2 linked regions of the Rhinolophus ferrumequinum genome follow. The protein of the gene in region 1 interacts with the protein of each later gene in a biochemical or structural test. Links are inferred from orthologs where the notes say so. Each region holds a gene or a part of one and is shown on either strand. Other genes may lie near its edges.

Evidence for each region. The genes of interacting proteins can lie anywhere in the genome.
Region 2: the proteins of TNRC6A (region 1) and CNOT1 form a complex in vitro, tested with the Homo sapiens proteins (2 studies listed by BioGRID). The link is inferred for Rhinolophus ferrumequinum from reciprocal best matches to the Homo sapiens genes TNRC6A and CNOT1.

What each region holds. Positions count from the first base shown.
Region 1 is NW_022680357.1:18,042,514-18,049,563, reverse strand, and holds the start of TNRC6A (trinucleotide repeat-containing gene 6A protein), read right to left. Parts: upstream 3,003-7,050; 5' UTR 2,757-3,002; intron 1-2,756.
Region 2 is NC_046298.1:10,854,775-10,862,441, forward strand, and holds the start of CNOT1 (CCR4-NOT transcription complex subunit 1), read right to left. Parts: upstream 3,010-7,667; 5' UTR 2,857-3,009; intron 1-2,856.

The sequences.
Region 1 (7,050 bases):
CCACTCCCACCGGGTTTCCATCCTCACCACCTCACCAGAATCGCTCGTATCAAAGCCTTCAGCTACCTCCACATTGCCAAGTCAGACAGACACTTTTCTGCCTTCAATGTTCTCAGTGTCTCAGCAACATGTGACCCAGTGGATAGGATGCTTGAGGTTTTTCCTGCTCTCGTCCCGACACCATCACCCAAAGAATGTTCTAATCAACTCCTTAGGAAATCCTATCACTAACCTTGCCTCTGTCCCTTTTCTTCAGCTCCATCGGCTTGGCTTGTTACTTCTACCTCTTAAAACAGGTTTCGAGTCTGTCCACTCCCATTCCATCCCCACTATACGCACATAAGCGAAAGTGCCTCCTAGGTCCCAAACAAGCCATCTACCTCCTTCCCTCGGAGTCTTTGCACGTGCTCTCGCCTCGTCTGGGACCCTTCAACACACTCCGAGGTCCATGTGGCCCAAATTTCATCCCAGGGTAACAATCGCACAAGTCTTCCTGGACTCCACGTCAGGCCCAGGTGACCCTGAGAGAAGAGAAGGGACACTTCTACACCACATTCCTGACACCCTCCTGATCCCTGTCCAAAACCGGTGCTCAGGCTCCCACGTGTTCTAAGCAGAAAACAGTCTGACATACGGCCAAGTCTAAGTTCATCTCCAATCACAGCAAAATCGGCTCCAGGCTTTCTCCTGGCTTTCAGCTCCTCCCATAAGAGAGGAAGACTGGAGCCAGCTCCCCATTTTGAATTCACAGTAGGCTGGGAACAAATAGATACAATATTTTGTAGCTCCCTGGTCGAGAGGTGTATCTCGCCATCCCTCGATCATGTGACTTGTCTAGGCCAATGGGACACTAGCAAACGATGGAAGCAGCTGCTTGAAACGTGCTTGTGCATTGGGGCACCCCCTCTCTTGCCACTTTTGGAACCCAGCCACCATATGAAGAAGACTGAGCTGGCTGGCTCCATAGGGAGACACGTGGCCCGGGCAATTTCAATTGCACCTGCTAATCAGGAGACACATGAGTGAGACCACCTAAGACCACCCCCCTGCAGCCAGAGGCACAGGAGGGAACCCAGTCGGGGTAAAGAAGAAGAAGGACCGTCCTGACTGCCAGCTGCCAGCATAACGAGCTATCGGTGTCTGCGGTGTCCAGCCCCTACGTTTGGGGTGGTTTGCAATATCGCCAAAATGAACGTATACACCTCTAGAAGTCGTCTCATGTTGCAGGTGTGGTTGTGCTACTTCCCTAGTTAAAATGCTTTCATCATTGCTCACTGATCCTACGGTGAGACCCAAGCAAGTCACTTAGTAAGACCTACAGAGACCCACAGAATCTGATGTGCTCAGCCCTGGGACTCAGCTGGCCCCAGTTCGGCCCTCACGGCCCTCACACATGCCATTCCCTCTGTCCGGACTATTCTTCCCGGCTCTTCACCTGGCGGACTCTCAGGTCACAACTTAAATATGACATGAGCAGAGGGGGCTCCTTTGGCCAGCTGGCCACCTTGGGCCCCCACAGAAGTATGTGTCCAGTTCTATATCCTCGTGGCACCCTACTATTTCCTCTGTGGCCAATACCCCCGTTTGAAATACCACCCTGCCTGGGTGATGGCGTGTTTCTGAGCTGCCTTCTCTACGGCACCATGAACTTGGCAAGGACACCGTGTCTGCTTTGCTCATAGAGGCAGCCCAACGTTTGCACGCTAACTGTCACATAGCCGGGCAGTCGAAAGTTTTTGAGGCAGGTCTTCTTCGTGGTCAGCTGTGCAGGCTCTGGATAAGAGCTGCCTGAGCTCCACCCCTTACTAGCTAGTGACCTGCTTCATGCCTCAGTCTCCCCACCTCTAACAAGGGGGTAAAAATAGCACCTACCTCCCCCCCCTTGAGCTGTTGGGTGCCTTGTGCTCAGTAATTGTTAATTATTTCTTGCCGAGTGAAGGCAGCATATCTGGACAACAGTGAATCAGAGGCTTCTGCAGCCAACAAAGTGCTTGCTGCGTGGCTGTGGACACTGCCGTGATCGCATGCGCCTCGGCCACCGCTCTGCCTCGTCCTGCCAACGTGTGGCCCCGAACTCTGAGCCAGCTCTGTGACACGCGGCCCAGGAGCCTGCAAGCACTGAGCGCGGCTGCTGCCTCCTGCGTTCTCCCGTGGGGAGTCCACATCCGGGGTCAGGGAGCAGCGTCCCCCAACAGCTGTAACTGCCCCTCCTGGTCCCCTAGCTCAGCTGGATCTGGAGCCCACGAACATCCACCCAAGAAACACATCTGACGGCGCCACAAAATGTGTCAATCAGCCTGAACACGTGCGTGCGCGAGCACCACGGGCACTGGGCCATCTCCGCGGTCTCCGCGCGAGAAACGTTTCACGAGGGGCAGCTGGCACAGCTTCAGTCCCCAAGTGCTCAGAAGCTGTCCTTGCAGGTTCTGGATGGAAAGAACATGAAGACCTAGGTGTCCAAGAAAATAAATGTAAGAGACGAAGGGGAGAGGACCTCGTCAGAAAAGCAGTGAGAGAGGAGAGAGGGAAAGTGGGGCCGACGAAAAAGAGAGAAACAAGACGTGGGGTGGAGAGGGAGACGGTGAGGGCAGGGGAGACCTCAGCGAGATGCGTGGGGGGGCCGCGCGGGCCACGGCCGCGCGGGCGCAGGAGCCCGGCAGCGCGGAGGGGCCGGGCCGCCCTGGCCCCGGGCAGGGCCCCGCCGGGGTGCCCTGTACGCAGCGTCACCGCTCCCCGCTCAGCGTGCGGTCACTTACCAGCCTGGGAGTCCGCGGGCTGCAGAATGACGGGCACGGCTCCGGGACGCTCCCTGCAGCTCCAGGGACGCGGTGCTCACAGGCTAGCGGGCGCGGGACGACGGGACTTCCATCCAGCCGGGCTCCAGCCCCGAGGTGGGGAGAGCCAGGCCGAGAGGCAGCGGACAGGAGGGGGACCTGCTGGTGTGTTTGTGTTTAAATTGTTTTCGAGCCCACGTAGCCCCGAGTCACATGCTGCCTCCACCATCACCGGACTCATCACGTGATACAGGTCCCCCGTCACGTGACGAGACGAGTCTGCCTAACTTCGGCCCCCGCCCCCACCTCCAGCTCACAAGCTGACAGATAAAGTGTTTCTGGAGGGGGCCCCCTACCCCCAAAACGCAGTGGTAGAGGGACGGATGCAGATGGAGACCCCTGGAGCCCCTGCAACGCTAAGATCTGGGTAATCGCTCTGCTGCGTCTCCCCCTCCCCCCAGCTTCTGCGACTTGGAGCAGTGCCAGCCCCATCCGATTCCCAGCCTTTGTGAATAACCCAAGTCTCGCCACCGCGGGCCCAGCAACTGCAGGGCGTTTGAGCTCACACCATTCCGCCTCGTTCTGGAAAGCCTGACTCTGGCTGCTCCCCACCCCGCCCCCACCCCTTACCCCCACCACTTCCAAGCCGCCTGAGCAGTGGGAGTGGGCGGCTGTGGGGGCTGAGCAGCTGCGGGACACGGGGCACCGCTCCCCCGAACCGTCCAGTCCCTTCTTCTTTTTTTTTGCATCTGCAGTAGGAGTCAGGTGGGGCCCCGCTGGCTCTGATGAGGCTGTTTCTAGCTATCGTAGCTCTGCTCTGTCTGCAGCTCTCCCTCTCTCTCTCTCTTCCTCTCCCTCTCTCTCTCTCTCTCTCTCTCTGCATTTCTAGTTTCTCTGCTCAATCAGGATACAGTTAAATAGATGTGGTTTAAAAATCTACTGGGCTTGTTTCCTCCCGTTCATTCATTCATTCCATCTCTTACTAACCAGATGTCCTGTAGAGCCGCCTGCTGTGTTGCAGGGCTGGTCCCAGGCACCAGGAAGGAGAGAGGGAGGAATGAGGTGTTAAAGAAATGTTAAAGAAATGCACACAGCAAGACGTCTGACCTTGAGGCACTGCGCTGTCTGTTAGAAGCAACAGAAACGTAAACAGACGTAGCAGATGCAAATTTGACAGTCAGATACTAACTCAGGCAGGCAAAAATGTAAACCCTTCTTCGTCTTGAGCCAAACTTCCTACATCCAGCCCCTCTGCCCCCATTCTGCCAAATATGAGACACTTAATCCAGTCACTTCCAAATAAACGCATCTGGGTGATTTAAAGTAAGTCAAATGAAAGATTTTTCTTCCGTCACTGTCCACCCTGGGGTTGAGTCTAAGCTCTGATACTCTCTCAAACTAGTAAACAAACTGTGCAGACCACTTTCCTGAGGAGGAGATCGTATAATTGTCACTCTGCAATTTGGGGGTCTGTTTGAGCAAAGGAGGCTCACGTGCAGGCAGCAGTGAAAAGGGCCTCTGAGAGGAAAAAGGGCCTTTTCCAAACCAGTTTTGTTCTATACCGTCCTATGCAATCATAGCAGACAAGGGGTCCCTGGCAGACCCAGCGGCCCGCCCCTGGGTCCACCTGTCCCAGGAAAATTAAGCATCTTTGTGGCTGAAGCCACTCTAGTCGGGTCTGTTACCACTTGTGCTGGACGCATCCTTGCGGAAGCAGCATCCCAGGAACCTGACAGCTGCTGGAGGGGCAGCGTCACTGGAGCTGTGGAGGTGGACGTCTGCAGATAGTGGGCCGAGAAGCAAGCTGGAAAGTCCTGTTCCTGACAATCTGGAGGACCAGATAACTGTGGAGAGCCTCTGGGTGAAATATATCAGACATTCGTTTAAGTGCATAGCTGAGCTCTCTAAATGGGCAGAAGAAATAGAGAACGGAGAGCTAAGCACGTGTGTTAACACTGTTATCAACCTGAGGGACTGGTGCTTGCTGGGAACCTGGAAGCCACAGGATGGGACCTCAGCAGGTGTCGGAGACACAGTCTCATGCCCGGGGAGCTGTGGCTGAAATCTCTACAGCAACGACAGCTCTTCAAGTGCTGTATCCTCAGTGAAAAAGTGGAACAGAAAAAAGTTTACCTTTACATCCAAGGAAACACAGAAGCCGCTGTGATTCGACCTAAAGTCTGGGTCAAGGAAAAAAGGACTCCTCTGACAATTAATAACCAAGGCCCATCCTCATGTGCCTTTGATATTTGAATATATACTACTTTTATGACCCAGGAATACCGACAATAAGAAATAACACGTAAAGAATGGAGCCTTGGCGAGGCAGACATAAAACTGACCCAGAGGCAAACTCCCTAGACCCAGGCCTCACAGAATTTCCACAGATTAAGTTCCTATTGCAGATGAGCTCATAATCCAAAATTATAAAACACCAGTTATAACACAGAAAGCACTAAGAGACAGAACAAGGACCAGGAGTAGACCCTATACATTTCATATAATAAAACAGTTGGATGGTGACTATTAACCCCAAAGCCACCACTAAAATAACACAATTGAGCCCTAGTTCATATGCCAACAGAGAAGATGAAATAAAATCATACAAATATTAATTTCATCTAAAAGAAAACAGATAAAAAAGGAAAAGGGGGAACAAAGAACATGATTTTAATCTATCTACATCAATAATCACATTCAATGTAAATGGTCTAAACACTCCATTTAAAAACAGAGATTGTCAGATTGAACCAACTGCATGCTAAAAGAAACCCATTTTAAACAGAAAATACAAATAGCTGAGAAAGAAGTGGATGGAAAAAGCTATCCCACGCTCACATTGGTCACAATAAAGCTGGAACGGCTCTGCTGCTACCAGCCATGGAGAGATGTCTACTATTAATTACTACAAGGGACAAAGGGGGGGATTTCATAATAACAAAGGATCAATAGCAATCCTAAACATTCATTCACCAAATAAGACAGCTTCAAAATACAGGAAACAGAAGTCACAGAACAGTAAGAAGAAACAGACAAATCCACCATTAAAGGCAGATATTTCAACATCCCTCTTTCAATACTTAATAGAACAACGAGATTGAAAACAAGTGAGGGTGTGGAAGACTTGAATACAACATTTTAACCAACTTCACCTAATTGACTTTTATAGGATGTTGCACCTAACAGCAGGATCCACATTCTCTTCCAATGCATACAGACGTCTACCAGGATAATCTTAGTCATAAAGCAAATCTCAATAAACTTAAATGGATTAAAATCATGCAAAGTATATTCTCTGATCAAAGTGAAATGAAATTGGAAATCAAAAACAGAAATAAGTCTGAAAAACCCCAAATATTTGGAAACGAAATAACATATTCCTAAATAATCCACGAAAGAAGCAAAAAGGAAATTAGAAAGAACTTTGAACTGAATTAAAATGAAACCAGCAGAGCACAAATAGATGTTACGTAAAGAAAAGGAAGAAGGAGAAGAAGAAAAAGTAAAAGGAGAAGAAAAAGACAAGACACAATTAAAAGACAGAAATTTTTTGGTTTAAAAAAAAAAGACAAATAACTCTCCCTCTATATGGGTGAATAAATGAAAAAAAAAGCTGTAATTCAAAAAGCAAACGACAATTATGTGGAGACTCACAGTTGCGTCCTCCTTCAGAAATAAATTAATTCTTCACAGACAACAACTGAAAGTTAGAATTGATGTCTATTTCATGTTCTCAGCAAGACTGACATGGGTTCTATGTAACTTGATCATAGTTGTCACAGAAAATGAGCAGCAAAGGAGGACAGAATGGACATGACAAGTGTGGTTTTGGGATTAAAGACACATAAAGGAGAAAGTGGATGGCAGGCTGCACACGCGGATGACTGAATTAGGGAATATAAATGGTGACTTCTTCCAATAGAAAGAGGAAACAGATAAAAAAATGACTTTTCTTAAAAAAACAAAAAGCTTATGGAAAAGGTATGTGGAAGACAAATCCCTTATCCACACCCTACAAAGTTACCAGAAGAGAGAATGAAATAGGTGGAGGAAGATGAGAAGAAATAAGGAAATGATGGAAGGAAAGTTTCCTGATCTAAGAGCGAACTTAGGCTGACCCAGGAGCCAGAAGTCACAAACCTAGAATGGCCTTGAAAACATAAGCAGCCCAGAAATTTACAGAATAGTGGGGAAAATGCTGACATTCTCCAGGCCCAATGTTCACTGATCGTGGAAGACGTGGCAAGCCCCAGCTGACATTTTAACAACACTCTTG
Region 2 (7,667 bases), on another chromosome or scaffold:
CAGCCGGTTCACTCAATGGTTAGAGCGGTTCACTCAATGGTTAGAGCGCAGTGCTCACAACACCAAGGTCAAGGGTGTGATTCCCACATGGCCCAGTGGGATGCGCTCTCCCCCCCCCCCCCAACCAAAAAAAAACTAGACTGAAAAAACAGCGACTTGACTTGGAGATGATGGGTCCTGGTAAAACACAATGCTCCCCAATTGAAAAAATAAAAAATTAAAAAGAAAACGGAAGCACATTTCTTCAAGTCTACACTCCCAAAAGCTGCTTTTTCTTCAATCTCAACAGAGGATTTCAGATTAAGTCTACACCTCTAATTACTGACATCTCAAACAATGCTTTTCAATGAACAATATGTTTTATTTGCTTTACTACACCCTTACAAAGGTATATGTGAAAAGTACATTGAAATAAACTATTGTGTATACACAGGACAAAAGGATTTGAGGCCATTTTAATTTTGAAACAGGCTTCTTAAAAACTGTAAGCAAACAGAAAAGGGAACTGCAGGATTTTTCTATATACAGTATAAGGTCTTAAAATAAGAATCAGTGGGATGCCATTTTGAAACTTCCCAGCAGCAAGTTCAGTTTGGTGAGAGGGCCATTTAAGAAATGCTTGGCTAATATTTTTCAATGACTTGAAAGTTAGTTTTGTTCTTTCATAAAAGAATATACCACATTCATAAAATATAGTGTTTCAAAATGACGGGCTACAATACTTGTTAATTCAAGAAGCACAGGCATCTAACAAAAAAAATTAGTGTCTTAAAATATATGAGCATTCAATTATAATCATTGTGGACAAATTCCCTTCTGGGGCACTGAGTGCCAAAGATCTGTTACTTTGTAGAATGAAGTAAAGATTCCAGTTCATAAATTTAAGCTGGTTAAAAGGAAAGCTTTTCCTAACTAAACCAGAATCTAACCAAAAACATACTTGGAAAAAGCAACATGCAAGAATAATGACATTAGTCTTTAAGCATGTTTTGATGAGATAGCAAGCATTTCCTCTTCTGTCCCCACAGGTTTGTTTTGTTTTCAATGCTCTAACCCAAAGTCAGGAGGATATCACAGTACTTAGCCTGACAAGATCCATGTTAAAGAGACAGGATTTAAACCCTCACAGAAATTTAGTGACTAGAAATAGAGTATTTCAGTTGTTCCACCATGCCTCAAAACTTCTGACTTAAAACTTCTAAGATTACAATCTTAGGCAAGAAAGGGAAACACTTTCAGTTATTAATGGTCAAGTCTTTGTGCCTTGATTCTAAACTTAAGTTTCTACTATAGGACTTGGGATCCACACTTGTTGAAAAGGGACAAACTCTCCAAACAAGTTTTATCAAGAAGCTACCATTTCAGAGCACAACTAGAGGTCTAAAACTTTATGTATCATCAGCTCATTTTCTCCTTAGACAAGGTAACAATATGCAGTCTCCTAAAACATGATTATTTAAACTGTTACCATATATATATTATTAACAGCTAAAATACTATACTGCCAATCTTTGGAAGGGTAGAAATGTCAACCTGGGCCACAGATCACTAACATTAAAACCAAATATGTCTACAAAAACAAGTTTCTTCTTAACCTGTTTCACCTACTTCCAAATTTTTTACTTGTCCTCCCGTTTTTTCATCCATTCCTATCAGACTGTCATAGGGAAATGCTCGAAATTTTTTTTGCAAAAAATACTGAAATTATATTCTCTTAATTATTTACTCACTGTTAACATAAATCCCTCAAGGCAATCGAATTATAAATAATGGAAGGTGGAGATTAAGTATTATTACTCAGCTTTCAGGAAGAAAACTGACTTTAAGAGACCTGAGAAATGTGACAGTTCATTGAGTGACTTCAGGGGAAAAGTTTACTCCTCCAAGTTTAAACACATTTTCAAACACCGTTATCAAGCATTTTCTGTTTTTAACCCAGAAAGCTTACTCCTCGTGGTGGCAATTATCTGTGTGAGCCCGGTTAGGTGAATTCTGCGGAGGAGGTGGTACTTAAAAAGGACACTTCAGTCTGTGAAATTTCAATATTGTTTGGCCTTCGGCAACCCTACCAAGACCTGTAGTAAATCTCTCACCAGTATCGTGGCCTCCAAGGGCTCAGCTCACTAGGGGGACACTTCCCATGGGTGAGCACAACGGCCACTTTAGCACAGACACTGGACCAAGTGGGTGGGGGCCAACTTCGGAGAAAGTGTGAGCCGCGGGCGCGCGAGTGGAACAAAACCTGTGGCAGAAGTAATAAGGAAGTGCTCGCTCCCGCCCGCCCCTCCCACCCGCAGGGACCCGAAACACCCGGGGTTTGACAACGTGCTGGGGGCGGGGGGAGGGGGACTGGCAGCTCCCAAGTCGACGGGAAAGAACTGGGAGCCTGCAACTACTCCAAACACAGTCCCCTCGCCCCAGGATCTAGGCCTCGGGGGCCAATGCCCACTGCACCTATCCGAGAGCCCAGGGAGAAAGAGGCAGTTGAGGAGCTCGTGGGGTCTGAGGAGGGTGCAGCCCGCGCGAAGTGAGGCCCTGCCGTCTGTATTACCGCCACCGTCGCCCTCAGAGTCTCCAGGCCCGGGCCGAGGGCCACCAGGTCTCACCCCGCGCTCTGCCCTCTGCTTTGGGGAGCCTTCGCCCTGGCCTCTTCTCTTCGCAGCCCAAACACTCCGCCAGCCAGGGGGAGAGAGTCCGACCTCTCCCGTCTCGCCACTTCCCCGTCCCGACCGCCCCTCACTCCGCGGAGCTCCGGTAAACGCTCCCAGTGGCCCCGGGACTACTACCCCCAGTCCTTCCCCCCTCAGCACCCGCGTTCCGTAGCTGACACCGCCAGCCGGCCTTAGCCCACCTCACCTCAGGCGGCTCCGGCAGCGCTGGACACAGGAAACTCCTGGGTCCCCGACTCCGGCTCTCCTCGACCCCCTCCTTCGGTTAACTCCGCTTGTTTCTCTACAAAATGGCGCCGGAGGTCGCGCGCTCACGTCGCGGCCTTTCCCCTCCCCGTTCTCATTTCATCATTCGCTGCCCGCCCGAGGAGGGCTGGTCCTAGCACCAGCCAATGATCGTACCCCGCCCGTGGCACCCGCCCAATCACCGTTAGGTGCCCGCGGATTTAAACCAATCACACACTATCACTTGCAGAAGTCAAGGAAGAAACCAAGCTCCTGCTAGCAACTACCAATCCGGAGTCCTACTTCGAGGGCTTTGGCCAATTGCCGCTTTCCCGTCCCTAGGGACTGGAGTCAGAGCCCTTGCGCCTGCGCCCGAGCGAAGGCCAATGGGGAGACGCAGATAACTTCGATTTGGGGCTTCACGGACTTCCCACCTGCCCTGGAGGTCTTTCACCATTGTGGGCCGTGGGACTGGCATTGCCTCTGAGAAACAATAAATAAGGAAGGGGGCCCCATAAATCCTCGCCACTCTGCGCGGGAACTACTTTGAATTATACTGGAACAGCCTTCCTTCACTCCTTTCTCTTTCCACTTGTCAAGTCCAGTAGACTGGGGGGCTTCCCAATCTTAAACATCCCCCTACCCTCGCGTCCCTTTGGCGGGGAACGCCAGCCATCAGAAAGCAAGCCAGTCCGTAACTAGAAGGGCGACGTTCTGCGTCCCGGGATATGCAGTATTCCTCTCCCTCCGGCCCATTCCTGTCGCAGAAGTAATGCGTCTTTTCCCGTCACTTACTGCGCCCGGGGAGGAGCAGTGCATGCTGGAGAATGTAGTCTCTCAGGCCCCACTGGGTCCTAGCTTGCCTCACTTTCATCAAGACAACTTTTTCTTCTCATTCTACTTGTTGAAGAGGGGACCCCTAAAAGAGAGATAGGAAGCTAAAATTCTCGTTTGGTTTATGCCTTGTAAGCGGTACCAGAAAGGATACCAGTGCCATTTGTTCTTGGGAGAAAAAACATAGAAACATATCTTTTTCTATAATGTATTTTCTTTTATTCCCCCGCCTTTCTTCCGCCTCCCCGCCCCCACTCTGGTTCAAGCTTTGTTTCTCAGTCTAGTTGTGTAGAACACAGCTCCTCTGCCCATGCTGGTATTATGAGCCTTGCACTCCCCCACCCCTTGCTGAGGCAGCCAGTCGCTGGTTATGGTGGGCCACTCACAGCAGCTCACTGGCAGCTCTCACTGGCTGCCGGCTGCTCACGCTGGCTGCCGACCACTCACTCTGGCTGCTGGCCACTCATGGTGGCTGCTGGCCACTCCTGGTGACTCACGGTAGCTTAGGGCAGCACACACAGCAGCCAACAGCAGCTTATGCCAACCTCCAGCTGCTCACAGCAGCGCAGCTCCAGGGAGAGCCATTGTTCACAATCTTAGCTGTAGACCTAGGGCGCAGCTCACTGGCCCATGTGGGAATCAAGCCAGTGACCTCGGCTTTAGGAGCACGGTGTTCCAACCACCTTAGCCACCAGGCTGGCCCTAGAATGTATTTTCTATAGTAGATGATAAGATTTTATGCTCATCTGTTCCCAGAGGAGGACGGGAGCACTGGAAAGGAAGCATTGACTGGTTGGCACTTTTACCTTTCAAAAAAAAAACGTATCTTGGGCAGGCCCAGTGGCTCAGGCAGTTGGAGCTCCATGCTCCTAACGCCGAAGGCTGCTGGTTCGATTCCCACATGGGCCAGTGGACTCTCAACCACAAGGTTGCCAGTTAGACTCCTAGAGTCGTGCAAGAGATGGTGGGCTGCGCCCCCTGCAACTAACAACGGCAACTGGACCTGGAGCTGAGCTGCGCCCTCCACAACTAAGACTGAAAGGACAGCAACTTGACTTGGAAAAAAGTCCTGGAAGTACACACTGTTCCCCAATAAAGTCCTGTTAAAAAATAAAAAATCAAGTGTCTTCCTCATCACCCCGTTTTGAGGCTAAGCTCAGAAGCACTACCTTTTGTGCCTAAACATACTTTATTATTATTATTGTGGTAAAAACAGGTAACAAAATTTACCATCTTAACCATTTTTAAGTGTACCATACGTTGGTGTCAATTAGATGCATATTGGTGTGCGACTGACCTCTAGACCGTTTCATATTGCAAAACTAAAATTCTATACCCATAAACAACTCGTTTCCTCCCTCAGTCCCTGACAACCACCATTCTACTTTCTAAGATTTTGACTGCTTGAAATATCTCATATGAGTGGAATTATGCACTATTTGTCTTTTTGTGACTGGCTTATTTCACCTAAAAGTACTTTTTGACACCTGCTTTTCCTTGGTTCGAGGCCAACTCTTTCAGCAAACATTTACTGCGTGTCTCGTGTTTTCAAGCAACTGAATGAGACTCAGGACCTCACATACAGCAAGGACAAGGATTGCTTTAGTCTTGTTCCGAGCTGTATTCCCAGCACCTAGCACAGTGCCTGGCACATGGCAGACATGAGCAAATAAGTGCTGAAATATCAGGAAACAGAGAAGTAGCTTTATAGAATTACAATGTTAGTGATAGAAAAGGCCTCTTTAACAGACCAAGGATGAGGAATAAGGTCCTTCTTTTCAATGCTGCTGTAAAAAATTGCTAAAAACCTCTATGGATAGCAGCCATTTTGACCAAGTTTATCAAAATTGAAAATGCACAGACCCACCGACCCAATAATCCCATATCTAGACATTTATTCTGCAAGTGAATATTGCAAATTTGTACAGAGGTGAATGAATGTATCAAGATATTCACTCATGAGGAGTCTCACCTTAATTCCAGGGTTTGTCATCAGCATTCACCCCTCTCCCCTCCCCACACACACGGCCTTTCAGTCCAGGTGAGGGGATTATTCACCTGTTCAACAGCATCTACTGTAAGCATATTGAGCATTTGGGACACTGGGAAGACAAAGCACAGTCCTGGGAGAGTTTGCATTTAGTTATGGGAGAATGGCAATCAGGGAGATGAAGGTCCAAGAGGCATCACCTATGGAAAAGCTGTCTTGATTTCTTACAAGTTTGTCAAAACAAAAAGATTTTTAAAAAGATGGGGGAGAACAGGTTGCATAAGAGTTGAGATCTTTTTCATTTGGGAAGAACCTGATTTAAAACAGCCTGGGTAGAAAAATTAGAACCAGAATTGGAGAGCTCTATTTTCATTGGGTTCCTCACTCCAGAATTGGTGCTGATCCTTCCTCATCCCTCTGTTCCCTGGTACCTAAGGTTTAGGTGTGGTGTCACCAGACTGTCAGGCCCAGCTTTGGGCCCAGGCTGCCCGATCTGAGCAAACCAAGTGGTTTTATTGAGCCAAGTCCAGATCCTCAAAGCAACTCAACCACTGTGGCCTTCTCTCCTTAGCCTGGACCAGTGTGGTGTCACATGGCCAAAAAGGGACATACCAGTGACAAAAGACTGGTTCAGACTGTTAAAGTGGTAAAGTGAGTGATCTCAAATCCAATGACAGAGGAGAAAACAGGCTTAGACAGGACAACTCATCTCCAGTCATAGATTGTGGCAGAACTAACATTTGAATTCACTTTCGTTTTTTTTTCCCCCCTTCTTCCCCCCCTCCCCCGCCCCACTCTGGTTCAAGCCATTGTTTCTCAGTCTAGTTGTGTAGGACACAGCTCCGTGGCAGCTTGCGCCAGCCCAGCTCCAGGAAGAGCTATTGTTCACAATCTTAGCTGTAGAGGGCGCAATTCCCTGGCCCATTTGTGAATCAAACTGGCAACCTCGGTGTTAGGAGCACCGCGCTCCAACCACCCCAGCTACCAGGCGGGCCCAGAACTCACTTTCTGAAAACTCCAATTTCTTTGTTTATTTTTGTTTCTTTCATCTTCCTACCACTTATCTGGAGGCATTTTCTGTAATTAGGCCCAGTATCAGTGTCCTTTGTGTGCCAATTTTGTTATCCCATTCCGATGAAATAAAGTTAAAAAACAAAGTGAATTTTGACCAAAAAAAAAAAAAAAAAAGATATCCACTGCTGCATTGTTTATGAGGCTCCAAAAGATTGGAAACAATACGGAAGAGGTTAAATAAATGTATGGTATTGTCATACGGTGGAATGCTATGAACTCTTTTTAAAAGAATGAGGTAAATCTATATGTACTGTTATGAAATGATTCCAAGATATATTGTTAAATACAAAATTTAAGTGACCAGAAAAAAAAGCGATGGCATAATCTGTATGTTACCATTTGTGTAGGAGAAAATAACTGTCTATATCTACATATAACTAAATGCAAAAAAGGTTTTGGAAAGATACACACACACACACACACACACACACACACACACACACACACATCATAACTGACACCAATGGTTATCCCTGGGGAGTGAAGTGGAATGAGGAAGGGTAAAGCGAACTTTTGCTTTTTATTCCATATATTACTATACTATGTATTCGAACTTTTTACCAAGAGGATGTTTTATTTGTGTAATTTAAAATAATTTTAAAAGAGACAGAATGTGATACCCATAAAGGTCAACTATCTAAGGACAGTTCTACAACTAGTTTAAGTCTCAAATGTAGGTCTCTCACAAGATAAATTGAAATAAATCTGAGTTGCCTTTCCTCACTTCAGCCTGTTTTTGTAGGAGGAAAGTACAAAATAAACGGTTGTCTATTTTATACTGAAGCTGCTCCCAGAGCCCCTTGAGCCCCCTTTCAGCCCCTCCGCCAGAGCTCCACCCACCCCACTCCTCCGATTTGACCTGCCTTAATCAAATA